2 linked regions of the Caenorhabditis elegans genome follow. The protein of the gene in region 2 interacts with the protein of the main gene of each other region in a pairwise test. Each region holds a gene or a part of one and is shown on either strand. Other genes may lie near its edges.

Region 1 (9,625 bases), on a different chromosome or scaffold from region 2:
ACGAGATATTTGTATTTTTTGCGCGTCAAATATGTTGTGTAATACGCATTCTCAGAGTTTAGTGCTCCCGTAATATCTCGACTGTTGTTTTAAATTTGCCACCAAAAAGAGTTTCGTCAAATTTTTTAAAATCCAAAAACCTTTTTCCAGGCCCAATGCTCCCAAAAATCCGTCACGAAAGCCTCTGCCGCCTTTCTAACGAATCGGGATCTTCAAATCGGTCGATACCTCGTGCTCCGCTGGCCCGATTCGACGAGCCGAGCTGTGTTTCGTTTGAGCTAACCCATTTGTGATATTATATAATTTATGTACAATAAAAGAAAAACTGATGATATATTTAAATAAAGGAATTAAAGTGTAAGTGGCAAGTGGGAGAGAAAAAAAATGGAAATATTAGGTCGACTAGAATTGAATTGAAAAGCATTGATTAATAGGCATTAATAGGCATTAAATGCTTAAAAAAATAAAGAAATATTTAAATCAAGTTCATGGCTTTTGCCACATCAGCTTCTTTCTTCTCCTTCTTCTTATTTCGTGTCTCATACTCGAGACGGTGATGGATGATTCGATCGATAATCAAATCGGTGGTCATATCACTTCCCGAGTCCACTTCATGGTAGATTCCACGACGTTTGGCTTCTGCGAACGGGTCGATCGATGCAAGCGATGAGTTGACGACTGAGGAGTTGTTGTCACGGAATCCGTTGATAACTGCCTGAAAGTTTAAACCTTGATATTTCCAGGAGAAAATGGAAAATCCAATAATTTCCCTTAATTCTCAAAATTAATCATTAATAATCATTATTAAAGGCGGCTCAGACGTCCAAGGAAGTTTAGCCTTCATGTGGATCAGGAGAAATTGCGTGTGGGAACAATCTCAATCATCGCCAGCCTATGAATCCCGGCTAATAGCAGCGCCAGGAGGCTTGAGGAGCGCTGGTCGGCACTGTTGGGTACTTTTACGCGCCGGCCGACACCTCGCGGGTTTCGCGTGCCTCTATCTATTGCGTGCGACTCTCCTCGTTTCGCACACTCTCTCGCGCGCGCGCGTTTGATAACTTTTCAACACGGACTGTAAACGCACAAAACGTCTTATTTCCTACATGATAATCCAATTTTTCATCCAAAATTAATGTAGGCAAGTAGAAAAAGGCTTGTTCTATCTGAAAATACTATTTATTTCTGTGGAAATGCTTCAAAAACGCCTCAAAGGCCTGTTTCAAGCTTTTCAACAGAAATAAATATAATTTTCAGATAGAACAAGCTTTTTTCTTCATTTCTACATTAATTTTGGATGAAAAAATTGGATTATCATGTATGGAGAATTAATTTATTTATTAAAACATGAATTTGAATTTGAATTTTTTGTTTATTTAAATTCAAATTCAAATTTCTCGAACATTTACAGCATTTACCTGAACATTAAACTGATCCAAAATGTCAGAAGTAATCTCATATGGAGCACCGAACACAACTTCATTCACTGGCTGAAAAAAATTTTTTAATTTTCAATTTTTTCAATTTATTTCGAAAAGTTCAAACTACAAACCTTATAGGCCAGAACGGATAGTACACGCTCGTGAATCGACATTATGGGGTGATTGCTTCCCTTGTATTGATTGACAGTCTGTGAAATTGATAGTTTTATTCGATTGTGGTAGATTTCTCATTTTTTTAATGTAAAAATGCCGAAAGTTGGGAAATATTTTTAATCGACTCCAAATTTTCCCCTGATTCCGAATATCTAATCAAAAAAATTTCCCCTGATTTTATATTTAAGCTTGAAATCGCCAAATTTCATTTGTGCCCCCGCATCACTTTTTTGAATGCGCGCCCAAAGAAACTCGCATTGGAGCGCGCTTGTACCGTTTTTTTTTTTCATTTTCTTCATTTATTTTCGCCGAATTCAAGTTTTTTAACCAGTTTCATTAATTTTTGTCGATTTTTTATCGGTTTTTTCGACAAAAATTATTGAAGCAGGTTTAAAAAATTGAATTCGGCGAAAATCAAACGATGCAAGTGCGCTCCAATGCGAATTTTTTGGGCGCGAATTTCAAAAAAGTGATGCGGGGGCACAAATGAAATTCGCCGATTTCAAGCTTAAATATAAAATCAGGGAAATTTTTTTCGAATTTTTTCCGGAATCAGGGGAAAATTTGGAGTAAATTAAAAATATTTCCACATATTTCGCTACTCCACTTTTAAAAGAAATTTACAGAGAAATTTACGAAATTACCGCCAGGTGTGGTAGATCACAAATGCATTTTTGAGGTGAAAACGGGTTAATCGCTATTTTAACTTCATTTTTCGGCATAGAAATTTTTAAATAAAAAAAAGCACCTTGCAAATGCGCTCCATCGCAAATTTGATGGCTGAGATAAAAAATAAAAAATTGAAGAATTTGAATTTTTGTGAAGTTTTTGAGAGGATGGCACATCAATTAACCCTTTTCACGAAAAATTGATATTTTTAACGCCTTTTCTCATGGAAATCACAAAAAGAAACTTTTAAAATTTGGGTAGATCACATTTTTTTATTTAAATTTTAAAATCAAACTTTTTGTTTCAAAAAAAGAACAAATTCGCATTGGAGCACGCTTGCATCGTTTGATTTTCTTCATTTAAATTTTTATTTATTTTCGCCGAATTCAGTTTTCTAAAACCAGCTTCATTAATTTTTGTCGAAAAAAACAGATAAAATTTAGACAAAAATGAATGAAACTGGTTTTAAAAAATTGAATTCGGCGAAAAAAAAAATCAAACGATGCAAGCGCGCTCCAATGCGAATTTTTTTAGCGCGCACAAATGAAATTCGGCAATTTCAAGCTTAAAGGGATTGAATCAGGGATTTTTTTTGAATTTTTTCCGGAATCAGGGGAAAATTGGGGAGTCAATTAAAATTATTTCCCAGAAATTTTCTAAACAAAAACGCTCTACCTGATCCGATAAAATTCCCACAATCAGGTAATCTCCAAACTCTTTGGCTTTTTCCAGGAACGCCAGATGTCCAATATGGAACAAATCAAACGATCCGGTCACGTAGACAACCTTGTCCGTCGGTTTTGGCGGTCTTCCTTCGGCAAACTCGAGAATCGTTGTCGTTGTTGGGATGAAGCGCGAGACACGTGTCCAGGGGGACATTGCAACGTTGTCCTGAAAAGAAATTTAGAAAATTTACACTAAATTGTACTTATTACGTGTTTATCCAGAGATGAGAAAAATCGCCATATCTGACGCGCAAATGAACCCGCGGGAAGAGACAAAACTACTGTAGTTTTCAACCAATTTGTGTAGATTTATGAGCTATTGCGTCATCGTTGAATTTAATTTTGAGCCGCAATTTTTAATTTTCAGGCGTTTCACACGTTTTTATATTGAAATTTATCTATTTATTGAAAAATCTTAAAAGAAAACACACAAAAAAATTTAGAAAAACGCCTGAAAATTAAAAATTGCGGCTCAAAATTAAATTCAACGATGACGCAATAGCTCGTAAATCTACACAAATTGGTTAAAAACTACAGTAGTTTTGTCTCTTCCCGCAGATTCATTTGCGCGGCAGATATGGCCATTTTTCTCATCTCTGGATAAACACGTAATAGAAAAAGTAGATTCTAAGCTTGTTCTGAAAAAAAAATAATATTTTAAGCCCCATAGGGTTCCGGGCTTCCTCATTGAATTTTTCGCGCTCCATTGACAATCGCCTTGGGAAAGTGGTGTACTCCACACGGACAAATACATTTAGTTTTACAACTAAAATCGAACCGCGACGCGACACGCAACGCGCCGTAAATCCACATGGCCTAGTTCGGCAAAAACTCTTCCATTTCAATTTATGAGGGAAGCCAGAAATCCGTGCGGCCCACTAAAATTCAAAATTTGGTCCATTACCGCTATAAGCCTATTCAGACGCCGTTTTTTAGACTGCATACGCTGAAAAATTAAGCTTTGCAAAACTGGAAAAAACGACAAGCAGCCGGCTACGCTTACCTTGCTGTACTCCAGAATAGCCTAAAATTTTAAAAATTTTTAAAAATTAATTGAAAATCGTAGTAGCGCCAGTTGGGAAATTGCTTTAAAACATGATTTTAAAAAATTCAAAAAAATTTGAAAATTGAAAAAATCTCAGTTTTCCCCCTAATTCCTATTTGAATTTCCGCCGAAATGATGTGTTCGATGGAGCGCACTTGCATTATTTTTATTAATTTATTTCATTTTTTCTCATTATTTCACTGATTTTCTTGTATTTTTATCGGAAAAAGTGAGAAAAAAATGAAAGATAAATGCAAATTGTTTATTAAAAAATTATTGAAAATGGGAAACACTGTGGTAAAACCCATTTTCAATAACTTTTTTTTAATGAACAACTTGCATTCATCTTTCATTTTTCTCTTTTTTTTCCGATGAAAATACAAGAAAATCAGTGAAATACTGAGAAAAAATGAAATATATTAGTAAAAACAATGCAAGCGCGCTCCATCGAACACATAATTTTGGCGGAAATTCAAATAAATAGAAATCATGTGAAAACTGAGATTTTTCCAATTTTCAAAAAATCCAATAAATTTAGAAAATTTTTTTTCGAATTTTTTAAACCATGTTTTAAAGCAATTTCCCCCCAGCCAGTGGCACAAGTCTTCCAATAATTCCGACTTACCGTGCTCAGCGAACGAGCTCGTTCGACGTGTTGCTCGATGTGCTCATCCTGTGTGTGATGGTTCTTGGTGAGCAGAAGCATTCGGCCAACTAAATCAGTTGTAGAGACACCACACGTTCGCTTACATTCTCTGTATCGTTGGTGATCCTTCACCTCTTGATACGTGTCTTTTCCGTCGGCGGTTAGAGTTATGTCGTCTGGAAAATTGATCTACTTTTTTTACACGTGGTGCTGTCAGAGTGTCTCATTTCGGCTTGATCTTCTGGTTGATCTACAAAAAATGCGGCAGAGTTTTCAACTGATTTCGCATGGTTAAGAGCGTGTGCTGACGTCACATTGCTTTTGGGCGAAAAATTCCCGGATTTTTTTGTAGATCAAACCGTGATTGGACTTTAATTAATATTTTTACCTCCGTGAACACAAAAATCACAATCATACTTGTCCAGAGTTTCGACTGTTGTGGCGTATGGCGCATTTTCCACAACTTCATCGACCCATTTAATGCCGGCAACCATTCGATATCGCTCTTGTTCATTGAATACTGGAGGTCCTTTATGTAGTCGAATCTGGAATTTTTTTTTTGAGTTAAACTACAAATTTTCCCCTGATTCCGAATATCGATGTGAAAAAATTCCAAAAATTCAAAAAAAAAATTCCGTGATTTTATATTTAAGCTTGAAATCGCCGAATTTCATTTGTGCCCCCGAATCACTTTTTAAATTCGCGCCCAAAGAACTTCGCATTGGAGCGCGCTTTGATTTTCTTCATTTAAATATTTCATTTATTTTTCGCCGAATTCAGTTTTATTAAAAACCAGTTTTATTCATTTTTGTCGAGTTTTTATCGGTTTTTTCGACAAAAATTAATGAAACTGGTTTTAAAAAACTGAATTCGGCGAAAAATAAATAAAATATTTATTTAAATTAAGAAAATCAAAGCGCGCTCCAATGCGAATTTCTTTGGGCGCGCATTTGAAAAAAGTGATTCGGGAAAAACAAATGAAATTCGGCGATTTCAAGCTTAAATATAAAATCGTGGGAATTTTTTTTGAATTTTAATTTTTTTCACATCGATATTCGGAATTAGGGGAAAATTTGGGGTCAATTAAAAATATTTCCCAGATTTCGGTACTCCACCTTTAAAGGTCGGAAAAAATTGCAATAAAAAAAAATATTACTTAACGTTTTTTTTTCTATTTCAATTGGAAATTAGAAACGAATATGTTTTTTTAGTCACTAAAAATGTTTTTTTTTTGCTAAATTTCGATCTGAAATTTAAAAATTTTTAATGATTACCACAATATACCCTAACTTACGATATATTTAGTGAAAAATATTGTAAAATATTCTTTTTTTTTCCATGCAACCCCAAATTATAACGAAAATATCCATTCAATCAGAATATTTACCAGATGCCAACTATTTCGGGTCTCGACGCGATCTCGAAAAAAATGAAAAAAAACTGCAAAATAGCTAAAAGTACAGTACTCCTTAAAGGGTCACACACGCGTGTTCCTTTAAAATTTTTGTCAAGTCACGAAATTTCTTTTTAATTCGTGGCTTTTAATAAGGAAAATTGAATAATTGAATTATTTAAACAATATTTTTTACCTGAACTATCGTAATTTAAAGTGAAAATTAATTTAAATAATTCACAGAAGTTGATTTTTAAAATAATTTATAGCCACGTGGTGCCAGGGGTCCCTGTCCCATTACGGTTTGATCTACAAAAAATGCGGGAATTTTTCTCCCATTAAAATGTGACGTCAGCACGTTCTTAACCATACGAAATGAGTTAAGAACTCTGCCGCATTTTTTGTAGATCAGCGTAGATCAAGTGTGTTATAGGGAAAAATTTCGCAATTTACGAGTTACGACTTAAAAACTGCTAATATTTTAACAAAAATTTGCATATTCCCATCTTCTTTTTAGGGAGAAAAAAATATTGAAAACCTCTTCATCATTATGTACTCCAACAATTAACTTCTGTCCAAACTGCTTAGCCTGCCGTAATTGATTTGCATGGCCGAAATGCACCATGTCATAACTGGAAAATTAATTCATTTTAAGGCTCAATTCACATGGTGTCAAAGTGTCTCATTTCGGCGTGATCTACGTAGAGATCTACAAAAAATGCGGGAAAAGAGACGCAGACTTTTCAACAAAAATTGGTTAAGAACGTGCTGACGTCACATTTTTTTGGAAAAAAAATCCCACATTTTTTGTAGATCAAACCGAAAAGAGACACTTTGACACCACGTGTCGATTCCAGCCAAAAACCAACCATCCATCAGCCCAAACTCGATTTCCTTTGGGCAGTCCATCTGGTGCTAATCCGCTCATTTTTGAACTGAAATTTTAAAAATAATTTTTTTTTTTAATTTAAGATCAAAGTTCAAATTGTTGCAGAAGAAAAAAAAATTTAAAATCACGTTAATAATATTTTCTCACTTAAAATTTTAAAGGTTGAGTACCGAAATCTGTGAAATATTTTTTATATTACTCCAAATTTTCCCCTAATTCCGAATATCTATGTGAAAAAATTCAAAAAAAATTCCCTGATATTATATTTTAGCTTGAAATCGTAGAATTTCATTTGTCCCCCGCATCACTTTTTTTAAAATTCGCGCCCAAACAAATTCGCATTGGAGCGCGCTTTGATTTTCTTCATTTAAATATTTTATTTATTTTCCGCCGAATTCAGTTTAAACCAGTTTTATTCATTTTTGTCGAAAAAAATCGATAAAAGCTCGACAAAAATGAATGAAACTGGTTTTCAAAAAACTGCATTCGGCGAAAAATAAATAAAATATTTAAATGAAGAAAATCAAAGCGCGCTCCAATGCGAATTTCTTTGGGCGCGAATTTGAAAAAAAGTGATGCTAGTACAAGCGATTTCAAGCTTAAATATAAAATCAGGGAAATTTTTTTGAATTTTTTCACATAGATATTCGAAATCAGGGGAAAATTTGGAGTCAATTAAAAATAAATTAAAACAATGTAGTCAACGGACATTGAAGAGTGACCCCGACATCACCCGATTAAATAGCAATCGGAATGAAAAAATGCGGAAAAAAAAAGAAAAAAATTGTGACGTTATCAGTTCGAAAAGGACGTCGAACCCGGAGCAGACCGCCTGTCATGGAAAAAATATTTAGTCGAGTTTTTTCATTTTCAATGACGAATTGTGGAGGAGTTTCTCACAAAAAATTCAAAAATTGCACTTCCGGGATTTTTCTACTCAGTAAGCCTAGTGGGGAAATTGCTTTAAAACATGCCCATAGGGTCACAATGACCGAATATCACGATAAAAAAATTCAAAAAATTTTCTAGATTTTATATGATTTTTTTTTGAAAATTGAAAAATCTCAGTTTTTGCCTAATTCCTATTTGAATTACCGCCAATTGAAATTGTTCGATGGAGCGCACTTGCATTATTTTTATTTATTTATTTTATTTTTCTCATTATTTCACTGATTTTATTCGTTTTTTGGGGGTTTTTAATCGGAAAAATAGAGAAAAATGCAAATTGGTCATTAAAAAATTACTGAAAATGGGTAAAACTGTGTTTCGACGCCAAAAATCCTGAAAATAGCATATTCCACAGTTTTACTCATTTTCAGTTACTTTTTAATAAATCTTATAAGCATTTACCTTGCATTTTTCTCTCTTTTTCCGATAAAAATACACAAATAATGAAGAAAATCAGTGAAATAATGAGAAAAATAAAATAAATAGTGCAAGCGCGCTCCATCGAACGAACCCAATTGGCGGTAATTCAAATAGAAATTAGGGGAAAACTGAGATTTTTCAATTTTCAAAAAATCATATAAAATTTAGAAATTTTTTTTGAATTTTTTAATCATGATATTCGGCCATTGTGAAGCAATTTTCCCACTGGGCGCACTCCACCTTAAAAAAATTTCATTGAAAATCAAAAATGTTGCCAATTTTTTTAATAAAATCCTTCCGAAATCTGAAAGTTGGTAATTTTATAGAAAGTTTTAATTATTTTTCTATTTTTCGCGTCTAGAAACTTCAAGAAAACAACACAAAATGACGTTTGGTCACACCACAAAACACATTTTGTTTGTTTCCGATGGAAACAAAAATCGTAATTTTTCCATTTTCCCCTTACACAAAAGAAAGGCAAATTTTCGAAAATTTGATAAGAAACTTGAGATAATCAATAAAGGTTCAAAAAATATTCCGGCGTTGAAACAATGGCAGTTGCCCTTCACCACGTGATCAGGTGACCTATGCGCACGCGCGCGGGTCTCCGAGGACCACCTCTTATCGATCATTTCTGGCGGGGGGAGAATGGTCAAGTATTGAACACAGAACGTCTGCTTCGTAACTGCTGGAAAAAGAAGCCTGCGATGAAAAACCAGCTCACTGTTCATAACGAATTGGGAGCCCACAAAAATGGAAAAAAAACGGGGGATGGGAGACAATAAATAGAAGGTCAAAGGTGGAGTATCGAAACCTGAGATTTTGCATTTTTAGACCCAAAATACTACCGAAAACTACCTAATGAGGCGTTTTGAAAATTTCTCAAAAAAAGGTTATGGCGGTTCAAAGTTCTGGGAAAAATAGCCCATTTTCAGCTAAAATCGAAATTTTTGCCAACTTCTCGGTGTCGTAGAGTCTGGAACTTAAGTTTTATTTAATTATCACTTTTTAAACAATATTTTGGTCTTTTATTAGACATTTATTCGTTAATGTAAGCACATTTTCGACCAGTGGGGGACAAATAAAAGTTACATTTTTGTGCCCCAATGATCGAAAAATCAACTAATCAACGTCTAATAAAAGACCAAAATATTGTTTAAAAAGTGATAATTAAATAAAAATTAAGTTCGAAACACTGAGACACCGAGAAGTTGGCAAAATTTCGATTTTAGCTGAAAAGGGGTATTTTTTCCGAAACTTTGAACCGCCATAACTTTTTTTTGTAAAAAATTTTCAGA
Region 2 (9,474 bases):
CTTTCGAATGTCGAGTCGGCAGTTGTGCGTTCCCGACTAACAACCCATTCGGCTTCGTCGGCTCCCTTGTCGAATCCTTCTCCCTGAAAATTAAAAAAAATTAGGTGATCGTGTTTCGTTGTGGAAAAAGGAAAGGGATTGTGTGTAAGGTAAAAAAGAAATGGGATAATAAGCGAGAAGTGAGGTGGGACGATTTTACACACATTTCATCAACAATAGTGCTCAATTAGTCGAACACAATTTTGATTAATAATTAATCAAATCCACAAGCTCCAAAGGGTACAGTTCTAGAACAGAAAGCATAGAGTCACTCCTCCAACTCATGCCACTCTATTCCATTTAAAACCTATCCGCCACCAAAAACTAAATCAGCTCACCCAGCGTGCATCATACTAAAATAATTATATTTGAGACAATACTGTATGGACAGTATGCAGGAAATCTAATACTTACACGTCCGAAACCGAACGGAGTTTCTGCTTCTGTTGTTTGGCTGAAGGCTCCTCCTCTGACAGTTGGATCGGCGCTTCCGTTTGATCCTGCTGGGGCTGCGGCTTCTTCCTTTGGAATTTGAGCCATCAATCGTGCTGAAAATAATACAAAGATAATTATTCATAAGCCTATCCTGATACAAACCTATATCAGTGGCAAGCATTCCATCGACAACCTCCAAAAGCTTTGGCTTGAGTGGATTGAATTTGCTAAAGTCCTGTGTTTGAAGCTTCTCTCTCATCTTGTTCACATCTGGGAAGTCTCCTGGAGATATATTGTGTTCTCTCTGGAGTTGCTCGTAGATCTTGTCAAGATTTTGGATCAAATCCTTCTTCTTCTTATCCTTTCCGATCATCGATGGCATTTGCTTACGAAGCTCAGCAATAATGTATGCGTGAACCTTGGCGAGACGAGCTCTCTTGATCAGATCGTTCAACTTTCGGAGAGCAGCGTTACGTGGCAATGCTTGAAGATCTTGGAACAGGTCGTGCTGCTCGTCTTGGAAAAGTCGACGATTGAGATCGTAGTGAAGTGGATGATCCCAGAATGATCCCAAATAGACACGTGAAACTTCTGGAGTTTTGAATACTTTTCCCAGTGACCACATCAGAGCTCCGTAGACTCTCATCAACTGTTGATGATCAACCATGTCTGACTTGTTGAGAACAATTCGTATTTTATCCTCGTTTCCAGCCAATGCTTCAATACATCTCTTGAACTCATCGGAAATGTCAAGCTTGTGAGCATCGAAAAGAAGAATGATACGATCGACACGTTCAGCGAACCACTCTAAAACTCCAGTGAAATCATATCCGCGATCGATTCTGGAATAAAAAAGTATTTTTATTTTTGCATCGTGGAAATTCGATCCAACAAGCATTCGTTTTTGTAAACAAATAAGTTATTGGAGCTTCATCAAATGGGGACAACTCCTTGAAAGTAGTGTTCCGATTATTTAAAAATTAAAACAAACCTTTGCTTTTCTCCGGATAAGATTCCAGGTGTATCAACGATCGTTACACTTTCGAGAACTTGATTTGGAAGAGTCGAGCACTGGAATCGATTCAAAAATGCGTTTCCGAATCCTGACAGAGCACGGAACTGCTTCTTTGCGTCAACAACAAGAGCATTTCCAGGAATGCTTCCTTCTTCATCACCATGCATCACAGCAATGAATCTGTCGGTGGTTGGCTCTGGACCGATTCGGATTCCTGGGAAATCGGACTCGAGGAGGTAACGGATGAAAGTCGTTTTTCCGGTCGAATATTGCCCGACGAGCAGGATCATTGGTTTGGCATCGAAATCCGGATCATCTGAAAAGAAGGAACGTTATTTTGAAAATATAAATATGCTAAATAATTTCAAATTACCGAGAGCTGGGCTGTGAAAGTCGTGAAACTTGTGGAATTCTTCAAGAGGCAGGAGTTTCTGCTTGTAAATCTTGCGGAGACCTTCGGAAACCGTCTCCAAAACTTCCTTGTTCTTCTTTTTTGACGAATCACCACCAAGCCACGAAAACATACTTCTCGTCTTCTTTTTCTTTTGTCCTTCTTCTGAAAACTGATAAAATTAAGAATAAATCATGAGATTTTGATTAAAACTAATGTTAAATTTATTTATTTAAAATTTACCAAGATGTTGAGGAGGTGAGAATTGGCGGAAAATTGAACGGAACATGTGAGATATTTCAAGAAATTAAGGAAATTTCGCGGGAGGAAAACAAAAACAAGCGAGTAACAAAATGTGTTTCGTATATGCGTCTTAAGGTTACTGTAGAAAGTAAAGTTGCAGGCCTAGACTTACTCTCATCCATTTTTCGTTTTTTGTTATAAAAAGTTATTTTTAATATTAAAAATAGTTTTTGTTTGAGAAAAATAAAATGAATCGAGATCTGACGTAAATTTTCAACAGAAATTCGATTTCCGTGGTGGTGGTGAATAAATATGTACAGCTGGAATTGAAAAACTAAAAAAAAAAACACAGTAAACGACATTACTTTAACAAAAAAAAAACGAAGATTCTCAATATTTTGGTTAGAAAACCTAATAAATTCTGAATTTTAAATTGATGTAACACTGAAAAAAAAAAGAAGTTATCTACAGAAAAATACCGAGCTTGAAGTGATACAAGTTTCGTCATCCTAAGTTCGAAAAAACTGAAAATTCTTCTAGATTTTCCGGCCAATTTATAGAATGACTAAATTCAGAATCCCCCAGTGAGACCCAAAGAAATCGAAATTGCGAAATAGGGGCTCTATTCTCGTGTTGAACTGAAACCAAGTGAGTCATCATAGCCGCCAGCCAACAATCAGGCGGTGTGAGAGAGTGGGACTTTCACGAAATGTGGTAAGAGACGCAGATACTGACAGACGACTAGTGTGTTCATTCACTGTGTGAACAGAGATGTAGGCGAATGGACACAGAGAGGGCAGAGATGACGTGGCGGCCTATTGATGATGATGCACTAACTGGGAGGAGGATCGTAAAACAAACAGGAAATATCAATAGAAAATTAGAACATTTAGAACATCAATTAGAGACCGTCAATTGGTTTTGAAATTAGATGGGTTGAGAAAATTTATGTTAATTGAGTGATTAGAATGCTAAAGATCATTAGGAACTGGTCAATGTAGTATCAGAAGCTTGAGACTGAAGTCATATTCTTTGAGGAATGTTTTATTCATCTTAAAAGGCTCATGAATTATATGAAATCGGGAACACAGTACAATCATCTGGTCACATCAATAGTTGACGTTCTATACATGACAAATTGCCGAGAGAGCGTAAAAATCAAGAATCACAGAAAAAGAGGAAAAATTAGAAATGGATCAGGTAGTCGAATCGAGAAAATAGATCGACCGACAGACTGCGCAAAAGCCAGACAAGAGAGTCTAAGGACCAAGTAGACCGCAGACGAAAAAGTCAAAATAATACGCGAACTGACCACCATCACCCACCGGCCGAACTGCAAAGATCTTATGGGGAAAAAAAGAGAACACACACAAAAAAAGCATTGTCGGAATTGCTTGCTGTGAATGGTTTTTGTTGGAAAACCAGCGCATATATCAAATGGTCGCAGTGTAAATATGAAACCACAATATTTGCTTGGAATTTCATGGAACTGATGAATAAGTAGGACAAATTGTGTTAGATTTAGTCAAATTAAATTGAAATTAGTAACTAAATATAATTAAAATATGCAATCAATAGAATGACGTATAGTAGTATTCTGCGTTCCAACTAGAAATCGACATAAAAATATTTTGTTGTAAAATCACGAGGTTGCTTGAGAAATAACATAATACAATTTCAACACAATAACAATTCAATTGCTCTAACTACAATATTTTCTGTATAATCGGTGTCCTGTTCCACTAGATAGAAAATTGAAAAGGTAAAAGTTGTGTTGAACTAATTCAACTTTTCATGTTTGGAGTGTGAATCGTAACTGAAATTCCGAAAAACTATCTAACAATAAGTCAAAAACTTTAAAGAAAATCACCCGGAAATAACAAACTTCAAATGCATTACCTATAGGTATACAGTAGTCAAAATCAAAAACTAAACCACTATCAATCAAGAGACCCAACTCAAAAATTCTTTGGAAGAAATAAAATTGAAAGCAGGCCGGAAGAGAAAAGTTTAGTTTGAGTTTATATAACGTGAATGCTCTCGCTTTCTCTTTCAACGGAGCACTGAACTCTAGCAACTGCTTGTGCACTATCGATTCCACAGGGGTCATGCATCAAGAAAAATGAGACAACCGCAAGCGGACGATGTTTGAGACGATTTGGTAGAAGGAGGAAAGAATTGAATCAAAATAAAGTAACCGATTTGTTATTTCATTGAATTGTTCGAGTAGGGGGATGGAAGAAACGAAAAGAAGAGAAAAAAGAAGAAAAGAAAAAGAAAGATGCGATGATTGCGGCATGATGATTAGCTCGTTAGACCGTGTGAATTTTTCAAAAAATGGAGAATTTATCAAAATTTCAAAATATAAATAGAACGTTGGAGCTAGAAAGCTTGAAATGTTTGAAAAAAATACACCATATAGAACCTGGAAACCATGTTTCGTTTGCCTTTTGAACGAGAATATGAGATGATTTACAAGAAAATTTTCAAGAAATTCAAGCTTTCAAGCGTTTGATTAATATCTCGTGAAATTGAGGTGAAATTGAAAATCATATAATGTCAAATACAAAAAATATAAACTTGAAGGTAGAGCTAAAAATAATTTTTGATTTTCTCGTTCTTTTATCAGAAACTTCTGGATTTGAAAGCCATAACTAGATTATCAAAATATAACGCGATTGAAAAGTCTGCCGTTTCACAACCTAAAAACCTTACCTTGATCATCAATTTTATAACTTTTCCAAAAAACTCGGACGCTATCCATTTAGGTGTTAGAGTTTCTAAAAATGATCATTTTCTGTTCATACTTACCAAAAAGATTACTCATTTCGAAATGCCCGAAAAAATAGAACAGATACCGATCAGTTGGTCACGTCAAAATTCTTGTAATACTTATAAAAGTTTTGTTCTCGCGCTATGACGGGCGGTCTTGTCTCTTTTGCCTCTCAACGGAGCAAACATAAAACAGTTTGCACACAATTATTTACAAGTTAGCAGAGCACATGGTGTTCCAGTACTGGGAGGATGTGAAAGAAAAGTTGTATAGCGAGAGTATGAAAATGCGTTGATTGGCACTGACCAAATGTTTATCAGTGTGACCTGTCAACGAATGATGCTCACAATGATAAAGAATAATGCAAAGTGCAGCTCTTTAAGCAAAAAGGTTTGAAGTTCCATTTGTCAGGAATTTTTTCAATCAATGGAAAATCGAACTGTGTGGGAAGAATAGCAAGTGTCTGCAGGATAGAAACTCCAAATAGAAAAGGAATGGCATTGGGAAATGCTTTTGAAAAGCGTTCTTTCGTTTTCCAGAATGAAAACAAAGAAAAGTGATGCAATGGTTTTTTGATATGCACTGTCATCTTCAGATTCAGAAAAAAACCTCTGCCTATATAATCTGTCAAAGTCAAATAGTGGGGTGCAATACTAATAGGGAAAGGTTGTTTTAAACTTTCGAACTGCGATCGCAGATCGACATTGGGATTTGGCAGGAAAAATACTAAATTTGATAGCCACATTACTCCAACTAGTTGTTTAAAAAAGTGCAGAAAAGTAGACGCATAAAACATTATATGAACAAAAATCTACAAATCTACCTCTAACCGGCTCCATATACTTTGCAAGTTTAGGTGATGCTTTTGGGGTCATCATAGATGCCCTTGCAATCGAAAGCCGCCTGATTGGCCTGTCAGCAGCAACTGGAACTTGCTGCTGAGCTCTCATTTTTGGAACCGGAGTTTCTTCTTCTTTGAGGCCTGAGATCTTAACTTCTTCGATCACTTCCTTCTTTACTTCAGTAATTTCTACGGAAGTATTGACGACTTCAATTTCTTCTTCAACTGTTTCAGGAACTTTCTCAAGTTCAGAGATTTCTTCTTCTTGGTGGATTTCTTTTTTAGAAGTTTCCGGAGTTTCCGATTCTACTGGAACTTGTGCCGGTTCTTTATGTTCTTCAACAACTCTCCCTAGATCTTCGTCTTTTTCGACTTCACTTCTTTCTGATAAATCTTCAGTCTCTGCGTTCAGCTCCTCAAAACTGGAACTTGATACCGATCCGGAAATCTGAAAATCGTTACAATTTATTTAAAGTGGTGAAAAAAAAATCCTAAAAGTGCACAGTACAAATTTCTTGCTACTGCTTCATTTTGGTGGAAGCCGACCTTTTGCAAAAACGCAAAATTAAAACCAAATGTGACAGGGTTGGAGAGAAAATGTAAACATTATGAAAATTTGTGTATACCAAAAATAAATTAATCAAAAGTAAAACGAAATACCCACCTCATTTTTTGAATTGACACCTTCCAATGACGCTACATTCTGCTCATCAAAGACCGAATCGATTTTCTTCATTTGCCCTTCTATTCTGTCGGTTTGTGTTGCCTCCTGCTCTTCTTTCGTGGAGCTATTAATGACAATGACGGGTGGCGCGGGTGCCTCGTTTATTTTGTGTTCTTCACTATTCACAGACTCCATCGATACTTTTGTTGTAAGAGGAATAGGAAATGATCCAGTAAAAAGTCGATGAAATGTTCCAAGTTTCGAGGCAAAAAACTGTCAAGAAGAGAAGCGAGGCGGAGACAAGTTTCGCACACTTTTTTTGTTATCAATTTTTATTTCGCGACAATTCACTTTGCAAAGAAAAAAAAGCATAAGGAGAACAATGATAACAGGAGGAAACATTCCAGAACATGATGAAATACAAATAGAATTAAAAATAGGAAATGACTCACCAATTTCACCTCCGAATGGGTTTGTTGAAGAGAATCTCTCAGAAGTTTTTTCAAAGGGATTGGTGCTTTTCTTACGGAATATAACCAGAGTTTTATCGATATCTTCGTCTGTTACTGTTGGTCGACAAAGTTGACATCCCATAGGTTTTGAGTGGAGTCAAAAATTAATAGATCATTTAAAGGTAAGCGGGAGAATATTCAATTTGAAAAGAGCTGATTTTCTGATGAAATAGGATGTAACAAGTGTGAGAAGAGAGATTCAATAGAGATTATGATTCACATTGAATGAAAAATGTTAATTTAGATGACCAAAGATTAGAATGTAAAGCTGAAAAACAACATTTTTAAAAGTTGATTATAAAACGATGTGTAAATTTTTTGTTGTGCTTAAGCAATACACATAAAAAGTTGTGCAACGTGGCCTAATAAAAAATCACAAAAAATGATATGAATTAATTAAATCAGGTGAATTCAGGAATTTTTTGTGCCAAGGTTGAATGTTCGAGGTGAATTTTATCACCCAAAGAATTATATCCAAAAGTGGTACACTTGAAAACTTTAATGAGCTCTACGAGTAATTATATATGTAGTTCAAAAATATTCGTTTCAAATGCACAGAAATGGGCACATTTGTGAGCGAACATTGAATTGAGTGGATGCGCAAACATACGATGTTTTCTTTCTTTCTGATAAACCAAGAAGAATCAATCCAAAACTTAATCATTATAAAATTAATACAAAAACAATTAACCAAAATATTGTTAAAAATAAATAAAATATTGCTACAAACTATAAGAAATCCAACAATTTTGATATCCCCGTCGACAAAACGGTCAATGTTTGAACATAAATGTGGCTGCCTTCCGAAAAGCGGCACACAAACGAACAAAACAAAAATCGATGCGGATTCCCATATTTCGTATACATTTTTCCCAATATTATGGACAAAATCATAGTTGCGTAGGTGTTAAAATTCAGAAAAAACTCTATTATCAAAACTCTTTCAATTATTTTCAAACAAAATTAGAGCTTCAAAAATTTTGCACAGCTACGTCATTTCTCACCTTCATAATCTGGATAGAACGTAATTTCATTTCGATTAGCTCGTGGAACAGTACGGAAAAAATTATACATTTTATACAATAATGACAGTCGTGAATGGAAACTTTTGAAGGTTTTAACTTCGTTTTTTCAGTAGATGATAGTGTCAATTGTACGCTGTTTATGTAAATCCTATTGACGTAATATTGGATTTTTTCAATGCATTGATCAATTGTGTTTCATTCAATATTCCCGTAGAATGGCTCTATGATTCAATCAAATAATTTCGAGTTTACGGTTTTTTTGACAGTTTCTTCTAAAAGAATTCCAGATTATTTCCCCACCTTACACAAGAAAATAAATCCTAACCTGAAACTTCGACAGATTTATGAAAAATGATGGATGTATGAAACAAGTAAATCAACAATAATTTATTTACATTTATGTATCTCGCTACAAATTTATTTTGAAAAAAACAGATTAAAAACATGCATAATTTATGCTTTCACTCCTTCGAATGTGATCACATTTGGAATTGCGACACCTCGAGATGCTTGAATTTTCAAAAGTTCGGCGAATTCTTCAACTGCTTTTCCAAATCTTTTCACAGTATCTTCATCACTGAAGTCACTGAGTCCGTAAGTGACATCATTGTTTGCTTCTTTCAGCGAGTTCCGTCCCATTTGTTCAATTTGAGTGTTGCTCGCAAGAAGTGAGAGGACAAATTCACTTTGATCAATTGCATCGAAGACAGCTGAAGGGGCCAACTTTTGCAGAATTTTCTTTGGGAGATCTGGCTCCGCAGTAATCGGTCTACCCAAACCAATTCCTTGTGTGGCTCCGGATTTGATAGCTTCAACCATTGCGTTAACTGTACGGAAACCTCCAGTCAAGTAGACAACTGTGTTTTTGAAAACTGGGCGAATCTGAAAAAAAAACATGATAAAAATTAGTACCGCACGGAACCGAGAAAGAAGTTATTTAGGGGTAGAGTATATGTATGCCCCTATAATGTCCAATTAAAAACAATTAAAACTTACAATTAGTTAAATTTAAAACTCTCAGAAAAATACTAAAATATTATCAGAAATTGTTCAAAAGGTTCAGTGGGACTATCTACTTTCAATGCTGATGTCCTTACCTTTTCAGCGAATTCCAGGAAGAATGCCTCTCTTCGTTTTGTAGATTCTTTGAGATGCTGGAATGCCAGTTGTTCATAAGTTCCACCGGACAATTCAACAAAGTCAAATCCAATATTTTCATAAGCCCTGCACATTTCAATAGCATCATCCACAGTTGTTCCCTCTGATTGAAATTCAACTGAATTGGTCTTCAACCCAATCAAAAAACCTGTAGAAGCTGGAATTTCTTTTCTAATTGCATCAAATATTTCCAGAACAATTCGTTGTCTATTTGAAACTGAGCCACCATAATGATCGGTTCTCTTATTAGTAGTGGGCGATGTGAATTGAGCCAACAGGTATCCGTGAGCTCCATGAAGCTGTACTCCGTCGAATCCAGTTTCATAGGCATATTTCGCTGCATAAACAAAACGTTCAATGACTTCTGTTTTAATTTGT

The links. The genes of interacting proteins can lie anywhere in the genome.
Region 1: the proteins of rme-1 (region 2) and pcyt-2.1 interact in a two-hybrid assay, tested with the Caenorhabditis elegans proteins (one large-scale study listed by BioGRID).

Annotation. Positions count from the first base shown.
Region 1 is NC_003279.8:2,076,341-2,085,965, reverse strand, and holds pcyt-2.1 (ethanolamine-phosphate cytidylyltransferase), read right to left. Parts: upstream 7,008-9,625; 5' UTR 6,999-7,007; coding exon 6,940-6,998; intron 6,703-6,939; coding exon 6,609-6,702; intron 5,223-6,608; coding exon 5,066-5,222; intron 4,854-5,065; coding exon 4,657-4,853; intron 4,011-4,656; coding exon 3,990-4,010; intron 3,933-3,989; coding exon 3,891-3,932; intron 3,153-3,890; coding exon 2,937-3,152; intron 1,628-2,936; coding exon 1,550-1,627; intron 1,488-1,549; coding exon 1,416-1,487; intron 1,161-1,415; exon of another isoform or gene 939-1,160; intron 930-938; exon of another isoform or gene 811-929; intron 716-810; coding exon 476-715; 3' UTR 294-475; downstream 1-293. Other genes in the region: iglr-3 (Ig-like domain-containing protein), read left to right, coding at 151-293.
Region 2 is NC_003283.11:6,207,398-6,216,871, reverse strand, and holds the start of rme-1 (Dynamin-type G domain-containing protein), read right to left. Parts: upstream 6,705-9,474; 5' UTR 6,597-6,704; coding exon 6,402-6,596; intron 6,186-6,401; coding exon 5,720-6,185; intron 4,951-5,719; coding exon of another isoform or gene 4,935-4,950; intron 3,157-4,934; exon of another isoform or gene 2,941-3,156; intron 2,055-2,940; exon of another isoform or gene 2,046-2,054; coding exon 1,863-2,045; intron 1,806-1,862; coding exon 1,466-1,805; intron 1,317-1,465; coding exon 637-1,316; intron 588-636; coding exon 454-587; intron 393-453; coding exon 378-392; intron 84-377; coding exon 1-83. Other genes in the region: W06H8.2 (NADH:flavin oxidoreductase/NADH oxidase N-terminal domain-containing protein), read right to left, coding at 8,392-8,820, 9,036-9,474.